Neodiprion lecontei: one gene and its partners. The protein of the gene in region 3 purifies or fractionates together with the protein of the main gene of each other region. This does not show direct contact. Links are inferred from orthologs where the notes say so. Each region holds a gene or a part of one and is shown on either strand. Other genes may lie near its edges. The genes, in order: synaptobrevin homolog YKT6, BET1-like protein, syntaxin-5 and vesicle-trafficking protein SEC22b.

Evidence for each region.
Region 1: the proteins of syntaxin-5 (region 3) and synaptobrevin homolog YKT6 purify together in Homo sapiens (affinity purification with mass spectrometry; 3 studies listed by BioGRID and IntAct, with this or other methods). This does not show direct contact. The link is inferred for Neodiprion lecontei from reciprocal best matches to the Homo sapiens genes STX5 and YKT6.
Region 2: the proteins of syntaxin-5 (region 3) and BET1-like protein purify together in Homo sapiens (affinity purification with mass spectrometry; 3 studies listed by BioGRID and IntAct, with this or other methods). This does not show direct contact. The link is inferred for Neodiprion lecontei from reciprocal best matches to the Homo sapiens genes STX5 and BET1.
Region 4: the proteins of syntaxin-5 (region 3) and vesicle-trafficking protein SEC22b purify together in Homo sapiens (co-immunoprecipitation; 4 studies listed by BioGRID and IntAct, counting the BioPlex papers as one, with this or other methods). This does not show direct contact. The link is inferred for Neodiprion lecontei from reciprocal best matches to the Homo sapiens genes STX5 and SEC22B.

What each region holds. Positions count from the first base shown.
Region 1 is NC_060263.1:35,805,600-35,812,949, reverse strand, and holds synaptobrevin homolog YKT6, read left to right. Parts: upstream 1-2,324; 5' UTR 2,325-2,760; intron 2,761-2,897; 5' UTR 2,898-3,091; intron 3,092-3,175; 5' UTR 3,176-3,197; coding exon 3,198-3,387; intron 3,388-3,663; coding exon 3,664-3,935; intron 3,936-4,469; coding exon 4,470-4,610; 3' UTR 4,611-5,404; downstream 5,405-7,350. Other genes in the region: inhibitor of growth protein 5, read right to left, coding at 221-322, 454-632, 849-1,301, 1,845-1,881; NADH dehydrogenase [ubiquinone] 1 alpha subcomplex subunit 10, mitochondrial, read right to left, coding at 5,678-5,788, 5,923-6,315, 6,496-7,152. UniProt on the Homo sapiens protein: Vesicular soluble NSF attachment protein receptor (v-SNARE) mediating vesicle docking and fusion to a specific acceptor cellular compartment. Functions in endoplasmic reticulum to Golgi transport; as part of a SNARE complex composed of GOSR1, GOSR2 and STX5.
Region 2 is NC_060264.1:34,541,780-34,547,885, forward strand, and holds BET1-like protein, read right to left. Parts: upstream 3,675-6,106; 5' UTR 3,564-3,674; intron 3,291-3,563; exon of another isoform or gene 3,135-3,290; intron 2,996-3,134; exon of another isoform or gene 2,985-2,995; 5' UTR 2,902-2,984; coding exon 2,883-2,901; intron 2,803-2,882; coding exon 2,639-2,802; intron 2,522-2,638; coding exon 2,366-2,521; 3' UTR 1,942-2,365; coding exon of another isoform or gene 1,848-1,941; 3' UTR 1,774-1,847; coding exon of another isoform or gene 1,661-1,773; 3' UTR 1,658-1,660; downstream 1-1,657. Other genes in the region: THUMP domain-containing protein 3, read right to left, coding at 214-266, 345-735, 819-997, 1,092-1,569, 1,661-1,773, 1,848-1,941; translin, read right to left, coding at 4,651-4,887, 4,968-5,047, 5,131-5,346, 5,450-5,549, 5,679-5,750. UniProt on the Homo sapiens protein: Required for vesicular transport from the ER to the Golgi complex. Functions as a SNARE involved in the docking process of ER-derived vesicles with the cis-Golgi membrane.
Region 3 is NC_060262.1:35,647,623-35,656,625, forward strand, and holds syntaxin-5, read left to right. Parts: upstream 1-2,627; 5' UTR 2,628-2,773; coding exon 2,774-3,143; intron 3,144-3,414; coding exon 3,415-3,671; intron 3,672-3,989; coding exon 3,990-4,190; intron 4,191-4,261; coding exon 4,262-4,383; intron 4,384-4,466; coding exon 4,467-4,626; 3' UTR 4,627-7,448; downstream 7,449-9,003. Other genes in the region: zinc finger protein 502, read right to left, coding at 157-1,719, 1,986-2,153. UniProt on the Homo sapiens protein: Mediates endoplasmic reticulum to Golgi transport.
Region 4 is NC_060262.1:28,173,286-28,180,670, reverse strand, and holds the start of vesicle-trafficking protein SEC22b, read right to left. Parts: upstream 4,473-7,385; 5' UTR 4,360-4,472; intron 4,277-4,359; 5' UTR 4,105-4,276; coding exon 4,030-4,104; intron 3,554-4,029; coding exon 3,444-3,553; intron 3,270-3,443; coding exon 3,109-3,269; intron 3,017-3,108; coding exon 2,870-3,016; intron 2,759-2,869; coding exon 2,610-2,758; 3' UTR 2,603-2,609; exon of another isoform or gene 1,373-2,602; coding exon of another isoform or gene 1,182-1,372; intron 875-1,181; coding exon of another isoform or gene 750-874; intron 665-749; coding exon of another isoform or gene 464-664; intron 373-463; coding exon of another isoform or gene 194-372; intron 24-193; coding exon of another isoform or gene 1-23. Other genes in the region: box C/D snoRNA protein 1, read left to right, coding at 1-23, 194-372, 464-664, 750-874, 1,182-1,372; uncharacterized protein LOC107223481, read left to right, coding at 5,798-5,803, 5,890-7,385. UniProt on the Homo sapiens protein: SNARE involved in targeting and fusion of ER-derived transport vesicles with the Golgi complex as well as Golgi-derived retrograde transport vesicles with the ER.

The DNA of each region.
Region 1 (7,350 bases), on a different chromosome or scaffold from region 3:
TCTCACATCGAAGCTGAAATTTTATTTCAGCTTCGAAATATAGGTTCGATGATTTTTCAATATAACTTTGCCGGGTGTCTTCAATCCCCCCTTTTGTTTTATGCTTAATCGGGAATGCCGACAGCCAATAAATAGATTTTAAAATTAGTTTGCAAAAAAAAAGGGGGGAGGGGGGATTTCAGTAAAAGTAAGAAAATTAGATACTTCAGTCCATCATTTTTCACTTTTTCTTTCGATCTTGTGTGCATTTTGGACAGTACCACTTCCCTTTCGGTTTAGTTGTCAAGCCAACACAGGCAAAGTGGAACCATTCGATCGGACACTGAAATAACAGCAGAAGTATACGTTAATATTTAGAAGTTGATTAGTGCAGTAGATGTAATCATAATGGGAACATTACGTGATACAACTGGAAGCTTATTGACTTTTGATAATGATGAAATACAAACTTACATCTGGATTATCACAACCAATCATTTCTCCGTAAGATACTTGATGGCAAAGACAATATGTCGGCTCATTTGGATCCACTGGCATGTCCAGGACATCAGCTGGGTGTCCCAACGCACTGGTGTCTGCCTGAGCACCACTTCCAACTGCCCCAGAAGCAGCAGTTGAAGTAACGGATCCACCTAAGAAATTCATTTATTTAAATTTTGTGTTTCAATGAGAAAAACTTCACAAATCACTAATCTTCAATTACAATAAGGTATTTGAAAAAAAGTATAATCTTGATTTTCATTCAACAGGAAGGATCAAAATCTGAATATCAAAAGATATTTAAACTAGTTGTTACACAATACTACAGGAGTAAACATAGGCATTGATAGAAAAAACATTAGTCACACCTTTTTTCTGCTTTTTGCGCGCAATCTTTGATTCGTCTTCGCTACTAGCTCCAGCACTTCCTTTCTTTCGTTTTTCTTTCTCTTTGAGTTTCTTCCTGCCTTTTTTACTAACAGCACTATCTTCCTGGACTCTATTTGTATTCAATGCCTTGTCTTGAATTTCTGCTTCAAATCTAGCAAGGTCTGAATCGAGTCTTCTAATGTGTTTGTCAACCAGCTCGTAGGTCTGTATAGCCAATTGAACCTTATCGTCCCCATATTCTTTAGCTTTGTTGAAAAGACTTTGGATGTGATTTAACTGTTCTTTTTTCTTATCCGCCGAAAGCGTTTTCACATTTCTCAAATATTCATCAGCCAGCTTGTCTAGATCTTTCATCAGCCCCTGCGCACGTGCATCCAGATCACGCATCAATGTGAAATTTCGTTGTAGTTCAATCGGTAGATTATCTAAACCTGAAAAGTGTTGGAAAATGACTGAATTTCAAACTGGTAAGGTTTTCCCGCAATTTCTAATGAAATGTTAATATTTTACAACATGATAGTTTTCATTTGCAGAGGAATAAAGAAATTTCCCGCTTGAAAAAATTCAATTTTTTCATCAGAAGTTATGGTTATGTGAGATGCAACTATTTAGGAAAACTACGAGTTTTTATTGGTGTAAGCACTTAGAATATACTTCACGTAACTTTCACATAACAAAAAAGATAATAACGTTATATTTTGGCACAGATGTCCTAGCATCTCACATAAATATCTCTTCTGAACATCAATTTGTTTCCTGAAAAATATTAACTTCAACACCGACTCATTGACATCCCATGTTGGTTAGCTTATTGATAGGTTAAGTTCATTGACGGTAGGCTAAAGAATGTAACTGATTAATGAAGTAAACTTCAAGGGACCTCATATTGAGAGGTCTAGTTTGATTCTACCTGACCGTGGTTACAACAAGCGATATTCTTCTTGTTAAACAACCATAAATAAAAGTTTACTTACTGTCCAGGTAATGTTCCAAGTACAATGCGGACGTCATTTCGCAGGGTAGACACCGCGGTAGAAACCCCGGGCTTGCGTTTTTTTTTTTTAATTACTCGAAGTTTGCTTGTGCAGGGTATAGTGGAACCGATTATTATACCACACACTGTTATTATTGACTTCACATCACTAGTAATAAAGTTGAAATCGTTACACCTACTCCATTCTCTCACTTTTGTATATGGGTGGAAATTGAATTCCTTCTAATTGGCACATACGTACACAAAACTGACCAGTGTCACTGTGTGTGCATAATTCAGTCGGCCGATTTTATTCACACTTTATTCGGACAAGCCTGCGGGGGAGTTTACACAACACAGCGGAGGTGGCGACACACTCTGAGTCATTCGCACGTTACGACTAACTATATGGATAACATATGTATGCACAGTGTGCATCGGTTACCGCTGAATTGCTGAATTGTGACGGTGTGGAAGAAAAGTGGGCATCCTTATCATGTAAAATAATTTCAATTAAATCTTATTGATTAAAATTACTTCTCCAAACGGAATACAACTCGAGATCGTCACTTCATCATAGTGAAAATTTGAATGATTTGAACTTGATTTGAACGATCTTAAAACAAACGTCGTGTCGCCGACCTCCGTCTGCAATCCCCCCTACAATCCCCTTCCCAAGCCCTGCGACGGACATACCCGTGTTACGTGTATGCGTGTCGTCGGACGTCGCCCGCCGTCTGCGACGCGCAGTTCTAGTGGGTGATGTGTCAGTGCTGTTAGTAGTCGCAGCAAGCTTGTAAGTGGTAAGGTACGCGATTTGACATTTGCCTTTAACCGAGGAGGGCGGAGCCAAAAACAACAATTTTAGTTCATTTTTCCGCGGATCTACCCTCTGAATCAGGATTTCATTAACGGAGGTAAAAAGCAGAAAATTCTCTCAAATATTGTGTGACACAATTCCGACTGCCCTTATCTTAATTTCACTTCATATCACTTTGTTTTACTTTCACATAGTATCGCGCTGAATGAGTCCAATTTTTTGATATTCTTGTAGGAAAGAAAAATCAAATAATGATCATTGCCACACTGGCAGTGCGACTGACAACAAGATTCTACCGGCGGTGAGAGTTGAAAACTAGGTAACGAAAGGAGGTCAAGTTCTAGTTGGAGCCGAAATTTTCCTAGGCTTACGTCGGTTGTATCTTCTTAGTCTTCTTTCCTGAACTCCCGGCTAGCCGAGTTCACTAGGTAAGCAATTATCTACATCAAATGTTAATGTGTACGATATGTGAAAAACGATAATCTTTTAGAAAAAAACTGCAATGCAAATAGCTTGTTTTTGTTACAGTCGAAAATGGTCAAATTGTACGCTTTAACCATCCTATACAAAGGCCCAACTACAGCAACAACGATCAAATCAGCTTATGAACTTGGATCTTTTTCGTTTTTTCAACGCAGTAGTGCTCAGGAATTTATGGCATTTGTCAGTAAAACGATTACTGAAAGAACTCAAATTGCAGCCAGACAAAGCGTCAAGGAAAAAGGTATTTATTTTCCAGTCTCTGTACTTTATAAAATATCATTTCATCGTGATCTGCAACTATTATGAATGACATTGGTTTCGGTGTAGAAACTACTTTTAAAAACAAACCATTGCTTGCTTAATATTAACAACATTTCTAAAGACCTTGAAACAGCCGTTTCATTTCAGTTAATTTTTGCTCCGTGCGTGCTTATTGTCTGTTTTTTTTCTATATTATCTATTTTCAGGTTGCTACCGATTGTCTCACTAAGTTCACATATTTTCTCTGTTCTTTCAGAGTATATGTGTCACGTTTATGTGAGAGCGGATAATTTAGCTGGCGTTCTAATCTCCGATCATGAGTATCCTAGCAGAGTTTCGCACACGTTGATCACAAAAGTACTAGATGAATTTGCTGCCCAGTACCCACCCAGTACATGTGCCACTTTAAATGAAGCGACAACAATATTTCCACAAGTGAATACGTACTTGGCGAAATATCAAAATCCCCGGGAAGCAGATGCATTTACAAAAATGCAGAATGACCTTGATGAAACCAAGATCATTTTGGTGAGTTTGAAGATTTTCTTAAACTGAGTTTCTTAGTTATCCAGTTTCAGCTCGTCGGTTTGGTCGTTTATGAAATATAATTGGACAAATGAGTTTGAAATTCGTAACATTAGTACTCTTACAAATCATTTATAAAAAATCTCTGTTTTTTAACTTTAGAATGACTTTGAAGAAGACGAATTTGCCAAAAAATAATGTTTTTTATTTTATTATTGTTACTTACTAAATTTCAGAGAATTTTCAAGTCGCATCATTGCATTAATATTAAAAAATACATGTTCCAAACAAAGTAGTGTCATTATCTATTTTTCTTTCCAATCCTAGAGGTTTTTCTTATGTACTGCACTCTCTGTCTAGCAAGCAATGCTTCCAATTCATTTTCTGAGATGTAAACAGTGGCATTCATTTATGTGCTGTTGTTAGTTTTCAGATAGTTATTGTGTATTGAAAGATTATGTAACTGATGCAGATAAGATACTATAAAGAATCACAAGTGTCTATTTCTATGAATACAGTAATTCATTTTTCTTACAGCATAATACAATAGAAGCAGTTTTAGAAAGGGGCGAAAAATTGGACGATTTGGTGTCAAAATCAGAAGGCCTTAGCATGCAGTCAAAAGCATTTTACAAAACAGCACGGAAAACCAATTCCTGTTGCAGCTTGACGGCTTAAACACGGTATACCATGATTCCATTGTGTTCATATTATTGTGTTACAAATGTGAAGATAGGTTTGTCAAGAAAAGAATGTTGAGTAATGTTTGAAATTTGAAAGCTAATTGATAACTTTTGCCTGCCGCAACAGTTTATTGTTCAGATGATTTTGCCTCCTCGGTATAATTAATTACCTGTGAATGTACAATTTTTTAATTTTTGAATGGATTTTACCTCCGATTGCAAAAGGTGGTTTGTCTTACCAATAGATTTCACTTGTATATTTTCTATTGAGCAAGATTGATTTAAATATTGCGCAGCCGAAGGTATGGATGTTTTTAAAGAGGCCTAAGTAAGTAATGTTATCCTTAATATATGTTAATGAACAATATGCTTTAATGCAACATATTATCCATCAATGTTGAAATACGAGTGACTGAATTTTATGTGTCTTGATTGCAAAGGGATAATTTTTCAAGACGTCATCAGATTGTATTCGAGAGTAATCAGTGTTGTCTAGCATCATAAAGAATGTCACAGAGTTCAGTATTCAACTCAAGTTACTTCAGTTTAATCAAAAAGTGGGGTTAATTTTAATTGGATTGTATACATACAGACTTTAATATCCTTTCCTTTTAAGACACATAAACAGAAATTTCACAAAATCTATGTAACCCAATGTCTATTAAACGTCTTCTTTGTCGTTGATATGTTATTCTTATTGCAAATGGAATGTAACTTGTTATTCCGTTATGCAGTTTCGGCATTGGATAAGAGTTCAATTATGGATGAAACAAAAAAATATGTGTACGTATTTATGTATTTAAAAAGTATTTCAATATATCATGTCTAAATTTAAAAAATACCACTCCAATTTTTTCCTCTAAACGTGATGTTTATCTACTCTCAGTGCCAAGGAACGTGAAATGTAAGTAATTGACCATAAGTATGAATTACATAGAATGTTATTTATTGTAATTTGTCGGTTTGTACAAGTCTACCAGGACAACTTCAATTCGGTGCACTACAATGTAATCACTTCTGCCGATTTGTGAATTTTTTCTTATGTTTTTAGCAGCACCTAGTTTACGAAAAAAACGGCATTCTGTATTCCCGAATAGTAGGGCGCCCTTTCCACAGTAATCCCGTATCTCCCATATCTTTATTGAAGCCTTTCATATACTTGTTACCAGGTGCCTAGTTACAAAAACAAAGATATAAACATATGTAAGAAAATATTTTCGAAAAATGTAGTGACATTTTTACAGAAGTTACTTTTTTTTAATCAATAACTAATCGGTTGAATCTGTAGATCAGACTGAAATACTTACATTTTCCCAAACCTTTTGATATGCGAGATGATCAGCTCCTGATACAATGAGCTCTGGTGCATTGACTTCCCCTAAGTTAAATAGCACTTTGAATGATAATACTTCATCAGCATAAATGCGCCTTGTATCACTCCAATCGTTAGCATCCCAGAATTGCCAGTCCCTGAATTTGAGATCGTCTCGGTCATCAGCGTCAAAGTTCAATCTCTCGATGTCCTCAATGACAACCTCAGGGTCGCCACCCTCTGACCAGTCATAAATGAGAATATGAGCATGTTCTGACATCTGTTTCAAATACTGCTGTTTATAAAGATTTTCAATATCAGTCAGGTACTGCTCCGTGAAAACCTTGGATTCAACTTCGTAGGGTATCCCCCTCTTTTGAATCTTTTCCTAAAATAATTTGTAAAATGGTTGATAAGCTATGTAATTAATTGTAGGACCTAGTAAAATTTTAAGAGAATTGAAAATGAATGAAAAATACAGCTCAAGTTCCTGCAGAAAATCTGAATTGTGTTTGGGTATTTTCAGTAAAGACAAGATGGAAAAAAAAGAACCACAACAACAAAGAACCTTGACTACAGGTACAGGAACATCCAAATAGATAACTAAATGCGGCAGGCGGAGTTCACGCAAAGTGAGCTGTGTGAGGTCTTGGTAAGTCCGTTGCGCAAGTTTGCTAACATAGCCAGCATTGCACATTGACTCCATAAAAATGGCATCAGAGTAGACACATCGCTCCAAAACAACACCTTCTCCAGTTGAGAAAAGGTGTGCTAAGGCGTCAACGTATTGGAAAAACCTATAATAATACATTTGGAGCTGATAATTGGCACAGTTCATGTGGTGCGGATCTTTACAGAAGTTCTTGACGTCATAAGATCTACAAGATTCTGGCAGCTTGTCGTCCAATTGCCGCATATCGAAGCCATATGAGTTTATATAATGCATGTCCATTGTCACTGCTGGCATATAGTGCATGTCCAAATCCTTGGCCAATGCTTCAGCAAATTCTGTCTTGCCAGAGGCAATTGGCCCTTCGACAATAACGATTTTGGAATTATCATCCATTCTGTGTACAGTTTTGTCAAATAGCTGATTCCAACGACTGTACCTCTTCGTCTCATACGGAAACGGAGGTGGCCTCTTTCTTTCGACCACCCGCATTGCTTTTCCTGAGATGAATGCCACTTGTATTTTGGCTATATAGCCGCTGGCTCCTAATGATGGCTAAAAAATATAAATTACTCAAATCTGTGGCATGTTGATAGTGCTGATTTCTGTGTGGCCAATCATTCATATAACTTTAACAACATCTAAATTTTTCCCTTTAGTTTCAAAATCAGTTAGTATTCACAATACACAATACTAGAAATATATTGTGACGCTTCCACTTTTTTCTTTACAGAATCTATCAAATTTCATGAC
Region 2 (6,106 bases), on a different chromosome or scaffold from region 3:
AAATACGTTTAGGCACGTGAACATAAATAATTTTAAATCGTGGTATTCAATGTTTATGGAAATCATATTTTCCACTTTACAATAAACAAAGTATCCTGATAACTTGTGCTTGATTCTTATCAGTCTTGCAAAGTCGAAGAATTACTCTTCTACGGGTTATACGGTAACTTGGTCCTCTTCAAAACATACACAGCTGTGTGCAACCCGCCCATATTAACCCCGAGCATTTTTATCACTTTGAATAAATTGCTTGCGGATTGTAAAGCCTGCAAGATGCGAAAAAAATGAATTTTCTAATGCGTTTCAAGTATTACAAATATCTTGTGAAAATTGAGCCCACTTGCCATTTGAATACTGCGACGATCGTAAGTCAGTAGAACCAGACGTCCTGTACCTAGTTTTGCAACACGAGCCAACTCTGTAATGTATCTTTTGTAAAGCACTCTGTTGTCTGTCATTGAACCACTTCGCTTTCCGAATGGCTGAAAAATTAATAACAACGAACAATAGCAAAAGACATATGTTGTATTGGCATATAAGCAATGATATGCCTACCATGTCAGTTACCACAATGTCAACATAAGAATCTTTCAGCGGTAATTTGGCGACACTCCATGTGATCAGCTCTGTCTTATGATTGATAGATTGAGCATCGATATTTAACTTTGTTCTAGCAACAGCTTTCTCATGATTATCTCCACACAAAACGTATGTATCTGGGAAAGCGATTGCTGCCTATCAAATTGTAAAGGCATATTAAAAATATTGAAAAATAGCTGTGTTTTTTTGTCAAATCTATTCAAGGGTAATCGTTCTACCTCGATCGGTATGGAGCCTCCGCCACACATTGGATCGATTATGATATCCCCTGGCTTTGGGTTCGCAAGTCGTAATAAACTATAACACACAGTAGCTCGCAGCGTAGTTGGGCCAAAGTGAATAATATTACGGCGATGTTTGGACTCATGAGTTATGCGAAGACAGGTTGCCAGCTCATCTGTAAATGTGAGTAAGCAGATCAAAAAACTTCAATTATTGAAGGATGAACCTCAATATGTATTTCACATTTTAACTGTGCTGAGGAAACCCACTCTGAACTAGATTGCAAATGACTTCCAGATGGTACATGGTCAAGTCGACTAGCCAGAAATATTTATCTTGTAATTCTCCCCCGATTACTCTCGCAACTTGACCAGATTCAAAGGCATGAGAACCTGTTCTTTCGCAAGTCACTCTGTACTTGAGGATGTCTTCTTCACTGGATAGGGACGGATCTCTACCCCGTTTTCTTCCCTTCCTGACATCCCCTACAACTGCATCTTCCGGGGGCTGATTTTTTTCAGCTTTGAGCAGTTTATCCGCATCTTTAAATTCTTCTTGTTTAGGGTAAAGTTTGCCACGAAAGCCAGTCATTGCTTTCCATGCTTCCAAACCCTTTTCTAGCCTGAGATCTTTCTCTATTGCATTTTTTAGCAACGTCAAATCAGTCTCGCCATCATCTTCTGAGAAGTTGAATTGACGGACATCGGATACCAGAAAAATATTGTCAATCGATCTCATTTCTTTTACCTGTTTTTTTTTTTTTTTTAATAGGAGCAAAAAGAAAATTTGTACAAACGATGATCGAATACCGGCATCATGATAATATTGGCAATAGTACTTTTGAAAATTGGTCCAGACGTATGTTAAAATAGATTTTTCCACGCTCCTTGACAACGTGTAAAGTCGTATCCACCTTCTCTTTGCATTCGTCAACCGCCTGCCATTCCAAACCTGTATCACACGTTTAGGTTATGTTTAAAGAAACAAAACAAACGCAGTAACACGTGTATTATTATGTGTTGTACCTGTGTCTACGGTAGTTCCGATTGTATAGACGCTTTCAGCTTCTTCAGATTTCTTAAATAGCTTGTACAAGTCAGATTCGTTGATATCCGTCATCGTTAAATCGCACTGATAAACAAGTCGAAGTCACGATGCCGATTTTCGACGTGTAAGTATATGGAGTCTGTATCAAAAAGGCGGAACTATGACCCGCCATAAAAGAAAAAAAAAAAACGTTCGAACATCAAAATTTCAAATACTCAACAGATTGACATTCCAATTCTAAGTTTAGGCCTTTCATAATAACGAAATTTTGAAAATAAACGTTCTTTGTATTTTACATTTGAATGATTCAAGTAATTATTCTATTACACATAACATGTAGAATTAGAAATACCATTCACCAATAACATGTCATTCATACGGTGGAACGTTGACTGAAGAATATATATTCTTTCATAACTAAAATTATATTCTTCAGTCAATGGGTAGACTAAGAATGCGCAAAAAAGTTGGAGCGTGTCTCTACACCTTATAGAAATTATTTAAATTTAAGAACAAGCCATAACACAATAAATACAGCAATTGAAAAAAGGAAAAGGTAAATGATGTAATAATTATGTCCTGCCCTCGCCATACGCAATACTCTAGACACAGAGGAAGTCAGGGAGCCACTCGTCCTCTCAAAATCTTCGTCCTGAAACAAAATTTGAATAAACATAATTGTAAGACAAACTCTAATTTCAGTAATTGGTCACACTGAATTCTGTCAGTTTGATTTTCCGCATTCTGTTTAATTAGCCTCCTTACTAACCATTCCATTCAACATTTTTTCCTGGTATTTAACCTCGGTACCAATATCAATGGACACTGCCTTCAGGAGGCTTATTTTGTCCTTCAGTTCATCGGCTATCCGTTCGTTCTCTTCCTCCAGAGCATCGTGAGAGGTGCTTGGCAACGGCCCATAAGCATACCCCCCTGAAAACGGGAAGAAAATACCTTTAGTTTTAACTTGACAGACAAGATTTGTTTATTTATTTTCAGCACATCCGACTAACCCGAATGCGACCGCCTCATTTTTGAATCAATTTTGAAATGTTCCGAGGACTATCTGTGACTAGTTGTCCCGTGCGTTCTCCTCATTTTCCTGGAACAAAACACTGAAACACAACTAAACTTACTTGAGATCTCGACATAACCCCAAAATTCGATAATAATTTGCGCTTATTTTCTACTTGGGCGGATGTCAGGCGAAAGACATAAAAAATAAAAACCACCTCAAGCTGTGCAATCAAGTTTTTATTCGTTACCTTTTTCGTTTGCTACAAAATTGAACGTATAAATTTCGCAAACATTGCAAATGACGTGTCCGTTTCGTTCTCTCGGGACCCGATTGTCACTCGGTGACGTGTCACAACAAGAAACGAGTTGTGATCGTCGGCATTTGAACAAACAGTAAGAATGCTATCGAAATCGCTGGTTGGTTACGTCTTACGGCCTGCTTATGGCTACGCTGATTCAATCTTTTCAACCTGACATTATGGCCTCTCATTAGTCTGACCGAATGAGAAATACCTATTATAATTGCTAATGTAGTACTAAATGCCTATTTTTCGCGTAGGGCTGCCCCATTTAGTCGAATGTTACGCTTTAGCTTCATTATCGGTACGATCTTACAGAAAATATTATTTTGACTGGTATTAAATATTGTCACTTATTTATCAACGAATATACACTACCGTTTAAGCATGGTAATTCAGAATTATTTATACATTGCTTTGAACAAGTGTAGTCTCCATGTTTGAAAACCTCAAACGTATTCTTGCTACGGGTTGATTGTGAAATTCTCCATTGCCAACGTAATCCACTAGGGAAAAAATAGGCTGTTTCAGGATTCGCGTCCACACGTGTACAAGTAAATTTCGTTTGCCTCCGTTTTCTCCACAACGAGTTGTTTAACGAGTGAAGTTATCAATATTGAAGAGTTTTTTCCCTCGAATATTCATAATAGTTTGAACGGTTAAGATTTAAATGCAATACGAGGTAGAAATGGTAGATTAACAGTAAGATACATCTTAATTAAATTTTTATACTCAGAAAAATATTAAACAATTTTACTTAAACCTAGGTTTTTCAAAACAGTGTACACGATAACTCGAACTGTAATAGATGAATCGATTTGAAGTTTGGTACTCGTATTAATAAAAATACAGCGTATTCTCGAGCAGAAAACGGCAAAAAATATTCACGATTTTTTTTCGTCATCAAACGAGAAGAGAGGTAAAGAGCATGTTTTTTATTTTCCTATCAGACCATTTACTCTAGGCTCCATGTATCAGACCATCGATATTTGCGATGTCATGTACACCGTTTGACCACGCACGAAACCATCGAACACCATCGGTTCTTAATTTTGTCTTTTCCTACAGGTTACAATCCAGCCGCATATTTCTGAAGTAATGCGATCGCACGGTATAGCGCAATTCTTCACCGAAAATAATGCCAAGTATCTTAAATAAAACGAGGGGATACTAATCGACCTGTTAATCTGAGCAATAAAGAATGTGCAATGAATCAATGACTTAGTTGTTGGAAATAAAATAACTGCATATAGTATAACTATGGTCATTTTTATTACGAACTGGTATCAAGCATTACAAAAACTAGGCACTGTCGCACCTCGTCGCAATAATCTTCGAGAAGATTGTCAAAATCAAGTTGAATTATGTCCACATGTTTAACCTCACTGCAAAACCTATGCTGGCGCAGCTTCTCACTTGGTATCGTGAGTAATAGTTAATGTATTGTGGTAGTAGAATTGCCTTTCTATTTCGAATCTACTGGAGCAGGCGGTACAGCAGGTTTCAGTCCTCGAATGCTGAGGTCGTAAACGACTTCCTCGATCTTTTTAACATCGTATTTCAGGGCGTCAAACCGTTTACGAAGAGAGTCATTCTTCAGATTGAGGAGTCGGAATCCAGCGTTCAATTCATTCACAAACCTGGATATTTCTATTGGTCGATCATAGTCTCCACTCGTTACGCTGTTGACTGCAAAGCGGCACTAGAAAAAATATTTATAAATAATGTACTGCAGTTATGGGTGAACGATTTTCACAAATAATAATGATTTTTCGTGAATACCAATTCTGAAGATAGCTGCAGAAGTCCCATCAAAAAATCTTCAAGATCCAAGTGAAATCCTTCCTCTCGATTGCTCTTTACTTAAATTATAGAGAGATTACACAACTAATTATGGATTCAGGCTTTAGATAATAAGTTGGTAATACTGTCATCGTCAACGTACCTCCCAATAGTTCTGCAACCGTGTCTTTGTGCACAAGAATTTTGACTTCTAGATATATAGTGAGAGAAGCCAGGAAGCATAAACGTTGCGTGACAAAACGCCAATGTTCATGAAATCGGTAGTATTGATTCTCAGGAACAACAGCGGCTAGTTTGGCATAACCCTTTCGTACATCCTCAAATAGACACCTTGCCTTAGTACAGTGTTCCGACACTACTGAGTAAGCAAACAATAAATAAATTGATATACAGTAAATAATAAGTAAATCTAGCAAACAAAAAATAAGATGGTAATAGAATTACAAAATTTACAATCATACTAGTATTTTCCTCGGACACATTCTCATTGTGAATATTTTGAAGTACCATCAGGATTTCTCTTGCACTTTGTTCAATCTCTTTGACGATAGTTCGGATTTCCTGAATGAATCAAGAAAACCGTGTAAAGGTTAATTGACATTGTTGTCATTTTGTGTCGAATTGTTTACTGTATTCGTTGAATTAATTATATTTTTACACCACGTATTATTATTGTCTATAAACACGTACCTCACGGAGTTCTTGTTCCGTGTTGAGGTAATCTTGGAACGAGTTAAAAATCGACGTTACGTTGGTCGACATCCTGACGTGTGGGATTTGTATCTACGTTTACGATTAGCCGTATGAACTCTATCGTGTTTGTCACAAAGTTATCCGAACGCCGGTTGACCACGATTTTACATACAGGTCTGGGAACTCTGGCGATGGGGGTATGTCCTCTTATTGAAGCACTGGTTGTTCCGCCTAGTGACCACGAGTGTCGTTGCTACCGAGGGATTCAGGCTGTGCGAAAGAGATGGAAACAGGTTGTTGACCGTCCGCGGTTTTGAAATCTGTTTCCGTCTCTCTCACATAGCCTGAATCCCTCGATAGCAGCGACACTCGTGGTCACTAGGAAAAACGGCCCGTGCTTCAATAAAAGGACACCCCACCAGTGA
Region 3 (9,003 bases):
TATCAAATCAATCAGTCAGTTATTTTTCAAATATAGACAAGATTCATATAATTGAATAAAATTTGAATCAACGAGTTTAACTTTTGCAAAATTGTAAAAACTATCGGACAACTAAAATTTATGAATTCGCAATACTAAATGCAAAGAATATCTCACCTTCCTTTTGGATTCGGCACCTTCATTTGGTCTACTTTCGTTATCTGTATCCTCATCTTCATCATCAGATGCCCCAAATATTTCTGCTTTGTGTTTGGACTGCTCATGATCTTTGAGTTTATCTAATCTAGAGAATTCCTTTCCACATGTTGAACAATTGAATCTAAGACCACTGTGGGTTGATATATGCCTTTTCAGGTTTCCTTTTGTTGCAAAAAGTTTACCACATTGAGTGCACTGTAGACCTTCGAGAGGTAAATCGTCGTCGTCGGATTCGTTTATTTTGGAATGAGACGAATCAGTTTGATGCTCCAGCGATTCTTCTATCGTTGTCAGCGGCATGGAATGATTATCTGAATTTTCACATTTTTCATATTCAGGGTGAGTCTTAATGTGGGAAAGAAATGATTTTTGATAGGTGAACTGTTTCGCACAGACTTTGCATTTCATTTTATAATTTTTTTTATCTGTTTTCTGTTTGTATATCGAAATGTCAATGTCTTTCTCTAACTTTTCCCCTTTTCTATCAGTATCTATTGCACCACAGTTATTATCAATATCAACTCTGTTATCATTTTTCAAAGAATCATGATTATCTGACACATGATTCTTCAACTTTGCAACAGTAGAAAATTGTTTGTCACACAAGTAGCAAACATATCTCAATTTAGTTTTGTGCTTGTGAATGGTCATGTGTCGTTGCAAAGCTAGATTTGTGGCAAAGCTCTTGATACAGTGAGGACATTTTCGTCTGCTGGTTCTCGTGATCAATGGTTTCTCTTCGTCACTATCATTCATTTCTTCATTAAAAATTTGACAATTGTTGGGTTTTAATTTACCCGATTCAGACGAAACATCAGCTTCGTCTTCCCCTTCAGAAAGTAAACTATTTTTTAATTCAAACTTGAGATCATCATGAAAAATAATTTCATCCTGATTGTTCCTCTCTCCTTCTAACAATTCACATTCCTCTGACAATGGCATATCCTCTTGTTTAATGGGTTCTGGTTCAATATTTTGATCTGTCGAATCAATTAATTTACCTACTGTAACACCCTGGTCATCCAGCAATATCTCTGTACTCTCCAAAGCAGATATTATCTCCCGCTGGCTGAAATCGTCATCTTTCTCTATTTGCTTATCAATTGATTCATCGCTCAGGCTTTTGTCCTGCATTTCCTCCTCTTGTGAAGACTCGTTACCACTCATGCACTCCTCACTGATTTCAAAAGCTACTGTACTTTGTTTATCATCAAAATTAGTCAATACTACACGCTTCATCTCTTGTGCAGCTTGTGATTTTGATACACTCTGCATTTCCAATTCCTTTATTCCTGTTTGCTGATTAGGAATTTCGTCAGCAATGGCTTCCGTGATAACATCATTGATCGATTGTGATAATAACTCCTTAGCTGCATCTCCGTTTACTTTTACATTCGATAGCAATATTTTACGTAAAGCAGCATCAGATTTTTCAACCTGACATTTGAAATCATAAGACATATCCAATAGCTGACGACATGAAAAACAAATAACACTTGGGAGACCGTCGCCGTGTTCTACCTGTAAAAATGTTTAAAAATACATTGCCAATAATTTGTAAATTGAATTGTTAAGGAGTGTGAAGTAATGATAGTAGTAGTGTAACAAACAAAATACAAAGAATTGTTTATATTTCAAATGCAGTCTGGGTGGTTGAATAAGCGACGTTTATTGTTACCAACTGATCGAAAATTAGTTCTGACGGCAAATATGAATTGGAAAAATAAAACATGTTGATGATCGTAATATAACAGTGATGATACGGTTGAAAATGCCCAAAAACTAACCTGTATAGCTGCAAACGCCATGATTTTTCTTGGAATATCCTCATCATTTTGGAATAATTCCCAAAACTGGTTGCAATTTTTTAAACAAATACGACACTCCTGGATAGAAGCTAACTGAACTTGCGAAACACATTCGGCTGTTTCTATTTTTTCCACTTCCATTTCCATCACGAAGAAATACTCCGCTGAGCCCCGTCTTGCTGCGCCATTTGCTTGATTTTACTTTAAGTGACGTAGCGCTTAGTAAGGTAGACCGGTGGATGTGTTCGAAAATCTTTCGAACGAAAAGGATTCTAATTTTTCCTGTCTTTCTCTCATTTGGGTTAAAAGAAAGAGATGAAACCATAAGACTTGTAGAACAGTATCGAGCAGCTCCAAACAGTTGAAGTAACGATTATAAAAATAAACACTGCAAATCATGAGCTATCCGGGTAAGTCGTCATTAAGCTATGTATGTTACACGCGACTTAAGTAACGTATCATAACGTGTAATATACATGCTGATTTCAGCCGCGACAGTACGACACTGTTGCTTTGGGAACACCAAAACATCCTAGTCTCCTCAAGCCGTGGAATTAAAAGTAAGATAGCCTGATGTGACAGGCTAACGCGTATCATCTTTAATGAGCGTGAACATTGCCCGTGGCTCAAAGCTGTGAGCTGTCATGTGGTTCAGCAATTTCCAATCTGTTGGGTGAAAATTATATTATATTATACTTGACGTAGTTAATCGCGTGAAGTGTTGCCTGTGATAATACATAGTATATTTGTTGAAAGTTGAGGATGCAATGCCAGCGCGTAGACGACGAGGTGGCTCCGAACACGAAATTGATCCAATGATCACAACCTCCAACAGTGCATATCAAAATCGTGATTTTGGACATCAATACTACAATGATAGAGTTGTTTCTCAACAATTAGATATCAACAATAAACAGCAAGAAGCTAACTTAGTGACAATGACTTCGCGAGACAGGACCAAAGAGTTTGCGAATGCGATTCGCACGATGCAGGGAAGGACAGTGGCGCGAGCCGCTGTTATGAGAGATCCTAGACAGGCTCGTCAAATACAGAGTTATTCCAATTTTATGATGATTGCTAAGAATATTGGAAAGAATATCGCTAGCACTTATACCAAACTGGAAAAACTTGCGTTGCGTAAGATGATGTTCAATTAATATTCATTGGTATATTTGTTACTTTCACTTTTCACACGAATGAAAACAATCTTCTAAATCCTAGCTATCCTTGAAATTTTAAGTAGCTGCAAACAGTTATTGAAAATTTAAATGAAATGACACGAGTTTAAGAATTTTACTGCAAAGAAGAAACTGAAATTTGTTTCAATGAATTTTTCCTTGTATGTTGTAAGGTTTAAAAATAATTCAATATTCGTCTACAACGTCCATGATGTTTCTTGTTATTGTAGTGGCAAAGAAGAAATCGTTGTTTGACGATAGACCATCAGAAATCCAAGAATTGACTTACATCATAAAAGGGGATTTGAATAGTTTGAATCAGCAAATAGCAAAATTGCAAGAAGTAGGTAGACAACAGCGGGAGAGTCTTGGGACGACACGTGGCCATCACCTTGCCTCTCACTCCTCTTCTGTAGTCGTCGCTCTGCAATCAAAATTAGCCAACATGTCTAATCACTTCAAAAACGTTCTTGAAGTGAGGACAGAAGTAAGTATAACATGTTATAAATGCCGTTATAGACTTCATAGTTTCAAACAAATGGATAAAACTTCATATCTAGATTATGGATGTCCAAACTCTGATTATTTCAACTTCTTAGTTTAATGGTTTATCTTCTTTTTTTTTTATTCTATGCTGTAACTTTGAATATAAAATTCATTTGAGCCTCCTATCATTTCTGCTTATTACATTTGTGTAGTTGAAATATTACATTCTGATTTTACTGATATAATTCAATAACTACCAGCCATGTATACATGAAAACATAATAATAGTTTTCCACTAACTTGAAACAAACTTGTGTAGAACTTGAAACAACAACAATGCCGAAGGGAACAGTTTACACAAGGATCGGTATCTTCGTCGTTACCTCCTAGTGCAGTATCAGGGCGTCAAGGTTCCTTGCTTCTTCAAGAACAAGCAAATTCTTCCTCTGTTAGCATCGACTTGGAACCCGCAATGGGACAGCAAGTAATGCAGCGTCAAGCAGTCCTCTACGACGAAACAGTGAGTAATCAATTGAGCTTCTTATCAGTAATTAGAATAACAGACATACTCAAATTGAATTTGTTCGTCAGGATACTTATGTACAGTCGAGATCAGATGCTATGCAGAATATTGAATCTACAATTGTTGAACTTGGAGGAATCTTTCAACAACTGGCTCACATGGTCAAAGAACAGGAAGAAATGGTTGAAAGGTATGATAGCGCTAGAGTTGAACATTATTCCTACAAATTTTTCATTATTGTAATCTTACGATATTTTGTTTGTTCAATTTCAGGATAGACAGCAACATACAAGATACCGAGTTAAACGTAGAGGCTGCGCATGGTGAAATTTTAAAATACTTCCAATCAGTCACGAACAATCGGTGGCTGATGATAAAAATTTTTGCTGTTCTTATATTCTTCTTTATATTCTTCGTTGTCTTTGTAGCATAGGGCAAAAATCCGTCAAAACGATATACTATTATAATTATGTATATTATTTGACCATTTACTTGTATTAAGAACTTATTAAAAAAAATATCTGTTTAACTGACGCGGGAATAACTTTTTTTTTATAAAGTAGGTTCAGTGTGGATATTGTACCATAAGCATCGAAATTGTATATTCACAACTGTTCCGTTTACGGGAAATTAGCTATTTTTAATATTTTATAAATATAACAGAGTATTTGCATTCATATGTATATTATCAAACTATACCGTACATAGTGATAATTACGACAATATTCAATTAAATAATCACATGATAGTTAATTGAATTGTATTATCTTAGAAAAACTATATTTGTACGGTTTAGTTGCTAATATTAAAGTTTTACCGTAATCACCTAGTAAGAATATTCGAGCTTCTAATGCTGAAATATTTTCGCAATATCGATTTATCTACATTAATTTTGAATCAATGTCGCTTAACACGGCCAATCCATCAATTGAATTTTTATGCATCTCCACCTAATCATTGTGTACAGTGAAATACAAGTTATTGAGGCCTTGATCAATTGTGTGAACTGGTATAGTCATAAGACTGCCCTTGACACTTAACCACAATTCGTATACGATTACTTGCGAGTCATGTGTCCCATTATGGATATAACAAGTAGCAACAGTTAATCGCAACAAAATATTACACACAAAATAGTATCTATTCTTGCCTAGCTGGGTGCCTTATATGTATATTCTAAAGGAGTGGCAGTACAATTTCATACGTCAACACAATCGATCTTGGCTTTTACAATATCAATGTAAGGAATGAAGTGGGCCATCATTTCGCAAACTGCGTAACTGCAATTCTGATATTGGCAACTTATACTATTGTATCACTAAATTGTGGTTTACGCGAATGAATAGGCTGGTTATATTTGTATAAAGTATAAAGTTGTTTAGGCAAAGGTTGATAGAAAAATAAAATTAAAATACTACATTATGTATAAAGTTAACGCACTTTATGACATTCCTCAGTACTGTAGTAATTTCACTCAGCAGCTATTACTTATTTTACTCAAACTTGGAATTGACAAACTTGTTTTTCTGACAATAGACGATCAAGATTGAAGTTTTATAGAGATGTAACAGTAACTTTCACGAAATTATTTTTTATAGATTTAAACTCGACTAGGCAAATTAAATCCACATGTTAATTTGTAAAATATTGACGGTAAATTTAAAAAATGCATTTAATAAATGATCGTTTTATGAGCATAATTGTCCCGGATTTCAGTCAAATTCGAAGCCATAACTCGCGAATAATAATAAATTACAATTTATTTTGATTCTTTAAAATCATAAATATACATTTTACAGTGTGATTGTTATACTAAATATTACAAATTTTTTTCAACATGATTTCAATAATCACATTTTATTTTTATACAAATGTTCATATCTCTACGCATATATATAAATATGTATACCTGCTTTCCTTTGAAACGTTCGACTATAACATTTTCTGAAACCATGTAGTGTAAGCTATTTAGTATTTCCACAAAAACTCTTACATGAAGTGATTTGGTATCTACACATTAGCAAGTACGAATTTGCTACAGTCGAATTTCATCATACTCAGACGAAAATTTTCGAACATAGCCACATCCAAATTACGGATAAGTTCTTCAAAGTATTGATAATGCATAATTCAAATTTGAAGTAGCATCATTTTATTAAACGGGAAGAAATCTATGGAATGAAATATTAAACGTATTTCTGGTTCCAGATAAGACAAAAGGCTTAGGCTTTTCCAGTATGATTTGATTTGTCCAGGGAGTCTCCAGAAGAATGTAACGAACCTACAAATAAAATAACAATTTATACATAAACAATAATTCAGATGCACATGCGTATATATAATATATTTGATTCTAATTTGCTTGGTAGCGTATTAGTGATGGTATGGATCTGGTGAATCAAGTAATCAAGTTAGTGCGTTATGTTTTGGAATTTCAAATAACAGTCTGCAAGCAAGAAAGCTTAACCAAGTGTCAAAAATTGATTCTACTTGACAAATGCTTTGATTTTTCCGTTCAGGCAACATTTTTAAACATTGACTCTACTGAAAACCAATTATGAAATGGGATGGTTAAGCAAACTAAGGTGAGTCTGTGCCTTGCATTAAGTGCTATGCGTGGTCCTTAGGACAAGTGTAAGCAGTTGGCTTTACAATTAACCACTAATACGTATACATATAAACACAAAGCCAATAAAAAAACAGAAAAATTAAATAAGTAAGTGCCATTAGTGTACAAAGAAAAGCTGTAATGTTAAAATAGTACTGATTCAATATGTGTAAAGTAGTTAATGTTTCACAACTGAAGATCGATGATAAAGACGTGTAATTGAGCATTCTACTCTATGACGTGGTGCTATATGAATAAATATATTCTGCTCAATAACTGGATTACACAATTACCAACTGCTAGAAAAAAAGTACATAAAGTAAAGATCTAAAATAAACCTGCCACAGATTCTATTTTGAATTATTTCCTTCCATTGTACTCCAAAACTGCCTTACTTTAGAGAAGCGCTTGCGTCCTTGCGTGCACAAATATAAAAATCCAACCGATTACAACATGACGGAAATAAGAATCATTCCAGTTTCCCTAAAGCCGGAGGTGAGGTGATGTGAGTATTTTGTGTGAAAGCTTTTATGCGATTTTTGAAACAAACCTTTGTGATTCCGTACACGCTGCTCACGTTGATGGGGATGGAAAACCGGATTTCGTGTGGGTGGTAATATATCATCCCCCCATGAATGCAAAGTTCCCAAAGGTGGCAAAAATGGAGGAGGCGGACCATGATGATACATATGGGCATGTTCGTTGCTAAATGGTGGCGGTGATCGATGGTTGTAAGAGGGATGTAACGGAGGTGAAAGCGGTGGTGGTGGAGAACTGGCATCTTCGTATCTACCAGGTGGATGAGGAAGAGGTATTGGGGGTGGTGAAGACAGACGTCCTCCTAATGGTGGAGGCCTCCTACTAATATCGTACATTGGTCCCCCTCCAGAATGTGGCGGTCCCGGTATAACGGGATACGGAGGGTACGGTGGGAATGGGGGTATAGGGGGAGGAATACCTGAGGAACCAGTAAACAATATAGGAGAACTTGATGTCTCTGCTCCCAAAAATAATTGAGGGGATGATGCTGTCTCTCCATTCGTCTCCATGCCTGCGTGGGAGTTTTCATTAAATAAACATAATATGTAGCTGTACCCTGTGTATCAGTGACAAGCTTTTACATTATAAAATACGATCAACTTTTACCTGATCCTGATGCTTGTTACTAGTTATAATAGTTCCAAATTAAGAAGGAACTATATTCAATATTTCACAAATTTAAATTTTTTATATGACTTTCAAATACATTTGAAAAAAGCTGAATTCTCAATAAAAGTAAATACTACCTAGCAAAATATTTCATCTGTTGGTCACTAATATTTCAAAGACTTTTTAGATTAGACTTAAGGCTTTTCGATGTCAGGTTTCAAAATATTACATTAGAAGGTCACCATTTGATAAACTAGTATCACGGAAGTATTTGTAAAACTGTCAATACAAAGGGTTTCGCCTCGTAATGTAAGAGTATAAAATATCCAAGTGTTGTCAGAATATTAAGTAAAAGATTTGATGGAAAAGTAACATTACCACTAGAAAAAAATATTCACATCAGAAATAATATACTTACGATGTAATTTTGAATCAGCATCTACTTCATTTATACTTTTCTCCACCAGGGTCAGTCGATTTCGTAATTGGCTGGCTTCAGCCTTCGATTCTTCCAAGCGTCGTTCACTTTGTCGAGCGATTACCTAGAAATTATAATAATAATAATGGTAAAAATCCTTTAGAACTGATCCTTATGATTAGAATATTTCAGAGATATAATGTCATGCATTAAATTACCCATTGTTCATGCGATTTTGTTTCCAAGGCTGAAATCTGACTCTTATATTCCCGTTCTTGATCTAGTATTTCCCTCTTCAAGGTCTCAATTTGTTGCCTATAATTCTGAATTTCATTCTGCATCGTTTGTATCCTATCAACAGTCGAAGTTACCTCACCTTGCTTCTGCACCCACATTGCTTCCTGCATGCCAAGTTCTCTGAAAAAATAATTAAAAAAAAAAAAAAAAGAAAATTGAATGTACATTTACCAACCATATTCAAGATTTATACAATCAATCACGGTTCCACAAAAAAGTGAATTGAAGCAAAAGCCAAAATACATGGAGTCACTTAAAACATCCTCAACTTACTTTTGCAATTGACTTTCTTTTTCTTTAAAGTAATTTGAAAGCACTTCAAGTCGGGTTTGCGCTTC
Region 4 (7,385 bases), about 7.5 Mb from region 3:
CAAGACTAGGTAATCTGCCAGTGGTGAGTTTAACGCAAGTCAATTATTGATGATGTATATTTAGTTTCAGTCGAGAGTAAGATTCAGTGAACACAGTTTTTGCCAATGAAACTTTCATGTTTGCAACAGATTTGATTTCACAATCAACGATTCAAAATATTTTGTACCTAATCCCACTACCTTAATATTGCAGCATTTGCATAAGTTAAAGACAGCTGTCCATCACAGGAATACAAAATTGGAATTTTTACCTCAAAACTTTAGCAGACATAAAATCAATACAACATATTATAAATGGAAAACAAATGAATTGTTTTGGAGGATTGAATGGATTTTTCCGCAAGCAGAGAATATGAAGCATAATGATAATCGGTAAAGTGTAATTTAATACATTATCCAGAATTGTTTCTAGATAAACGCTAATTTTGTGATTTAGAACGCAATGTTTACTTCAATCTTTCAGTGTCCTGGAAACTGAGAGATTGTCTACGATACTAGGTAGAGTTTTAGATCCTTTGACAATAGAAACCGAAGGTAGTGAGAGTATCGAAGTAATAAATTTGAAGATAGCGTACAGAGAAAAATTACAGTATTACCGAGCAGCTGGTTTTAGCAATATCAAAGTCCTTCTAAAAGCTGAGAAAGTGAAGAGATGTGATTCAAGGTTTGTTTTGCTCTGATTATAGAAAGATTATCGGACTGACACTTTATCGTCTTCGAATATCAATTGACACATTTATTTTTATCAGATTTCACGAGCTGAACCTTACTGAAACACTGAACGAAAATCTGGAGAATAAAACTATCATAGAATTTCCTGTTTTCTATGTGATACTGAAAGATCATTCAGATATGTACGAGATTGTAGACACTGGTGAGTGGTATTATTCAAAAGTAAAGGTGTCAATTTGGCAGACGAGGCTGAAACTAGCAGTCAGAATTAGCAGCCAACCGTTTTAATGTTCATTTGAATAAGGTAGTGAAGTCCAAATAAAAATTTTGTGAAATACCTCGAATCCTCAATACTTTTATAGAATTATGAGCGTAAAACTGAGCTGCATTTGACTATTTTCAAAGAGTTTAACACTTTTGGCTATTAGCTTCAACTTCATATTTCGTAGCTTGAACAATTTATACCACCATATTTGAACTCTATATTGCATTGCACTGAATATCAACAGATGAAGAAGAGGCGTCAACAGAGGCTGAACAAACAAGAGGAAACCTCAAAAGAAAACATACAAATAATCAGAGAGTTAAAAAGAAGAATGAAGGAGTTCCAGTAAACTTTTTCTTTGACAATGATCTAACAGATTCAGAAAATGAAAGTATGGAAATGGTTTCAAAAAATAAAATGTACTCAAATTTATAAAATCGTTAGAAGGTTATCATATCGCTGAGATAACTTGGGGTATTCAAGTATGCACAGCTTCTGAAAATAATAACTTCAACTAATCAATTCTAATTAAAACCGTTGAATTATGTGCAAAACATTTCCGTGAAATTATAGGTAAGAAGTAATAGATTGAAACGCTTCATCTGAGTTACTTTTATGCATTTCCATGCATGACCAAATATTTGGTAGAAATTCAAGCTTTTATTGTAAATAGAACGTTCACTAGAACAGTGTAACCGAATTTGATACAAATACAATAATAATATTATTAATCATGAATACAGGCTACTATATTACACAATTTCCATAGACCCTATGTCTCTTTCAACAATGAGAGCTATTTTTTATGTATGTTTTCCCCAACAATACTTTATACCACGTAAATAATACATAATTTCCTAAGAGTTTTCAATGGGATTGGCTATGCATAATATGTCAAATTCCCATAAAAAACAGATTAGGTTTACTCACTTTGATGGAATTAAAAATAAATTTGATTCGTGTATTCGGAAGTTGAAGCAAAATACGTATGCTTATATTTAAACACGAATATCCATCGAATGAAAATCATTTTGAAAGTGTTACATCACATGAAGAATAGAATTCTATATTCAATCGCCCGTGCGAAAACCTGTAGCAGTATAGATCTTTACAGAAGTAGTTTTGCTGTAAGCAAGTAACATTACATAATAACAGAAACATCTGTTCGTGTAACTTTTCAAAGAGCTCTTAGTACGCAATAATGCCTATGATATTCCTATTGCATTGCAGTTTTCCGATTTTTGTTTCAATTTTTATACATTGAGAAATTTAAATGATTGAATCGTAGATTAATATAAAACTATTGTATCTCTACTCATAGAAGTTCAAAGCTTTGTTTGAGAATTAAAAATGAAAAACAATTTGTTGCCTAACTAAATCACACCTTCCGATTATACAGAAATAAGACTGGAAACTCATCATGGACACAATCGAGGCTCTACTCTGCATATATCATGCCGTTCAAATTCTTTATATCAACTAAACGTCGTATTTTACGCTTGAAGTCAGTATACATAAATATATAATATTTCAGTTTCACTGAATGTGAAACAAAAAGACATTCTCCACAATACACAATGGTCAAAATATTTCGCACGCACGCCCTCTCATAGGTGAAGAATTTATCGATTCCATTTAAATCAATAACACAATAAAAATTCATACTCATCAATTATAGGATGAAAAAGTACAGTAGGAAGACGAGGAATGCAACTATCCCTGCAACTGCCTTTATGTACATTGATTTGCTGTTCAAATGCGTGGCATCCTTTCTGTACTTTTGTGACAACATTGACAAGTTCTGCGTTTTGGTATCTAATTCTGGAAAATGAAGATATTTATCAGAACAATTACAAGTCAGCATGCAATGCCTATAATCGGAGTTGTGTTGAAATGTCGGTTGACAATGTTCAGAATAACCATAGAAATTACCTGAAAGCATAGCTCCTCTCGAAAGAACATCATCGATATTTTGAACCATGATTCTTGTAACATCGTGTAATTGGTTGTTCAGAGCGCTCATATTTCTCCTGGACCGATTATCTGAGAAAGCCTTTTTTGCCTTTTGAATATACGTGTCTGCAAAGGCAATGATTTATATGAAAAAAACATGCCTTGAATATATGAGCTTTGACTAACCGAAGCAAGTCTAAAAGTAAAAGTTCTCTTACCAAATTCAATGAAACTGTAAGGTCTAGTGACGGTGTTGATCTTTTTACCATATTGTGCATCAAACTCTTGTGCAATATCTTCAAGATAGCTGTAAGCTACACGTTTACTGTAATTTCGTTCACACAATACCAAGTAACAAGCTTCTTTTTCGATAAGGTAACTGTAATAGGAAACCAAAAAATTTTCAACTTCCTTCACATTCACATACATTTGAAATTATTAACTTACAGCTTTAAACAATGTGTATTATTGTTTTTTATAATTCATGCATACATTAAATATAATAGAAAAAGAATAACAAAATGACGTAGTAAGATAACATGATCGTTCTTACTGAAATAAATATGGTCCAGTTTCTATCGTGCATCTCAATGGCGATTGTGGCCCAAGTTTCCTGAATAACATTTTGGCTTGATTCTGATATTCCAGAATACTTCTGCCACTCTGTAAGTAAAACATTAAATTTTTTATAATCAACATTGCTACGATATTGATATTAATTTGAACATTTGGATACGGAATCAAGATGATCAAGGTTCAATGCACAATACGTGATTTAGTAAGAATGCGTTGAACGGAGTAAAGAAAGAGCTTTGAAACTCTGCGAAAATGAATAAGAGAAAAGACGTGTGCTTACTGAATTGGATCAGCATATTGTTCTAGGAATAGGAGCAAAAACGAGTGATAAAATTGTATTAAACTAAATGATTGCAACAAGTCATGAATGAACTACGGATTCTTGATAATAATTACAAAGAGTAATGTATCAATAATTAAAATTTTTATTCACTAAAGGGCGAGCGCTTGGCCATTATATGGATAGAATTTTGAGAACAAGACAGGACGATTTGGCAATAAATATGGAAATTAATGAGAAAGTGACATTTCATCATAACAGTCGTTTTTAACAGCAATCTAACCTGTTCATCGTCCCGCATTGTAGCGGCTAGCGGCAGGCCGTCGGCTAACCTCGCGATCATGGTTAATAACACCATTTTTATTGGAATTTATGGAATATCCAGATTTATTCAGATAAAAACAGCAGTCCGTCTACTCATTGAACCTCCAAAAGCCCATTTGTACAGCGCTGGTAACTGATGTGGCCGACATCGGAAAACTCCATTTAGAATTTACCACGTCAGTCGCTGCATGCGCGTCGTTGACTTACTGTAAATTGTTTACCGAAGGTTAATATAACGAATTATTGTTGACAATTGAGCGCTAAAAACTGTTATAATAAATTACGAAACCTCAGATTTATCCAAGTTCCGCAAAACTTGTAATGCAATATTCTTGTGAAAAAAGATGTGAATTTAACAGCCGGCTTACTCGACGCACCAAAATCGTGGTTGTCAACTCATCGGTGAGTCTTTTGCATACCGGATAACCAGGCACTATTAATAACGCAATAAAATTGTCGGCGTGACAAATTTTGCGTGTAGAATCGTTGGTTCGGTATTAAAAAGCCCGCGAGTTACTGATTCGCGTCAGAAGTAGGTATTTTTTAAATTTAATTCAAAGGAAATACGGCGGGTTGAGAACCGTGACACCTTTTACCGCTATCTGTCGGAGAATTGTGCTCAACACCCTGACAATTGTGACCGAGGTATTCCACCTTAACGCCAGTGAACGGAAGAAGTTTGTGACGTGCTTAACCCAGATTTTCCACCGTCAAATGCTCGTGTTTGTACAACAGTTTTCTTAGCATGTTATGGATGTGAAAATGTGCTAAATTTATCGTAAATTCATTTATTACTCAGGTGTTCGTGACAATGTGTGATAGCGCTAGCTGCCAGAACGTTAACTAGGTGAGTAAATGACTTGAGAAAATAATACGATAGTTTGGTATCGTCACAACGAGTTGGTAATATCACAGCTGGGAAGGTATTTTCTGGCTTCCGAGGTCCATATCACCTGTAATTTCCCGACAGGCATTCGCTACTTCGTGTGAAAATCATTGAAATTTACATTGTGTTTCTTGTTATGTAATTATGCGACCGTTTACATTAGTATTGAAACAGATTCTTCACTCACAAGTTGCGGCTTTAAGACTCAATTCTTTTGATTCTGCATATATTTGAAACTTCATCAAGAACAAGTTTGATGTATGGAAGGATTTATAAATCTTTCAAAGTTTAAAGTGTTGTCACTGCAAACGAACCTTTTCTTGGGATGTATCATCGCATGTCTATACTCGTTGTTTTTCTTATCTTTACCAAGGACCTTGACGTCTCTTCCAATTAGTTTAAATAAATTGATAAGCTAATTATGGACAGGATATCCTGTCACCCATTTTTACTCTTCAACAAAACACTTGACATTTCTCATAAATAATACTATACTACAACTGGTCAAGATTGGAATTCAATGAACTCATTCTTGATCGTCATGATGAATAGCAATATTATTTTTGTAATATCATCGAGTGATTAAGAATACAGTGGTTTTGAATGAACGAAAAAAGAAGGCTTAGACTTGCACCTGTGCATCCTTAAATGCTGTTATTTTAAATTATTTGACGATGCCGCAGTTATTTTTCATTTAGCTTGCTAACGGCCTAATTATTTGCTGCAGAAACTCCAAAAATTTACCAGTGGTTTATGTACACCTATTGTCAATATCTTCTGTTTTTTGTTCAGGTTTTAAATATCAAGCTTACGATAAGTGTGGTGTTGGAGCAGAAGTAATATGAACGTAAGTAACACATGGTTTATCGCACTGAACCATCCTACAATGTAACATAACAACTGGAACGAAATTAATTCTAAATTATTTTCCAGAATCCATATCGTGCGAGACCAGCTAGAGCTAGGGTGGATCATGCCGCAGTGTCAGGGTATGGATCTCAGAGTCAAAACACTTGGAGTTCTATGCAGCCTGAGAGACGATCAGGAATTTTGCCAGCGAATGTTTATCAGCAACAGCCCAATTCTCTGATTCAACCTCAGCAGCAGCAGCAGCAGCAGCAGCAACAGCACCAGCCACAACAGCAATCTCATGATCCCTGGGATTGGGGTACCGATAACGGTAATAATGGCAATAGTGATTCGTGGAATTCAAACACTGATCAAAAGTCAGAGTCTCTACATCAGCTTTCTCAGCATCATCAATTTCCTTCTGGCCGCACCAATAATAGTCAAAGTATACAGAATCCACAGCAGGGAATGTATTATCCGAATTTTAACAGAAATAGTAGACCCAATGTACTTAATCAACAGCCTACTTCTGGTGGTAATATTCCACGGACGAGTCTAAGCAGAGAATCTACACCAAGTAATAAAGATGGTTATAATCAATACACGTCTTACGAATATAATCAGCCACCACAACAGCAACAGCAACAACAATATCATTTACCACCTAGGCCTAATTCTAAGTCAAGTCCTGCTGATCATTCGCAATGGTCTATCAGCAGTCAACAGACACCAAATTTACCGTCCCTTGGTAATAATTCAGGTGCTCAGCTGGATAACATCAAAAAAATACAGACTCCTCCACTTCCTCCTCAAACAAATACCTACAATTGGAACAATAGCGACCAACAGTTGGATCCTTCGCTTCGTAACTGGCAAAATCATAATGCCGCGTCAGTCAGTGGGTCCTGGCAAGAACCATCATTGGTAGCAAACAAGCAACAGCCCATAGAAAATATTAATCAGTCTCAACAGGGGCAACAGACTTCTCAAACGTTTGATCCACCTAAGGAATATACTTCGCCAGGACAATCCGAATACTATACTAACTGGAACAGTCAACAACATCAACAGAGTAATTTGACTAATCAATGGCCCTCAAATTATTCACGCAATACTTCAAATGAAGCAACACAGCCTATTCTGCATCAGAATATGGGAACTACGGTTATGAATCAGTGGCAACAGCCAATGTTTCAGCCACCTGTTCCTGCTGAAGAACCAGTAGGCACACAATCCACTCCATCAATACTCAATCAAGCTGATCAAAATGTTCCTTCAAATCAATGGCAACCACGGCAACCTCAATATGAAAATGTAATGCCAAAAGATTGGACCCCTGCACAAAGGCCTGTGGAATTGGTAGCTTCGGAAAAGGATTCAATTTCTGCACCTCATCAACAACATGACTCTCTTGAATCAGCAAAAAATAATAAAAGTATAAACGATTGGCAACATGCTCAGTCTCCTCCGTCACATTTTGCATCATCAACAGGCTCTGCAGTTTCTCATACATCTAACACTGCGGAGCAAATTCTAAGTGGTAACAATCACAATAATGAAAGGAAGAGATCTGTGGGTAT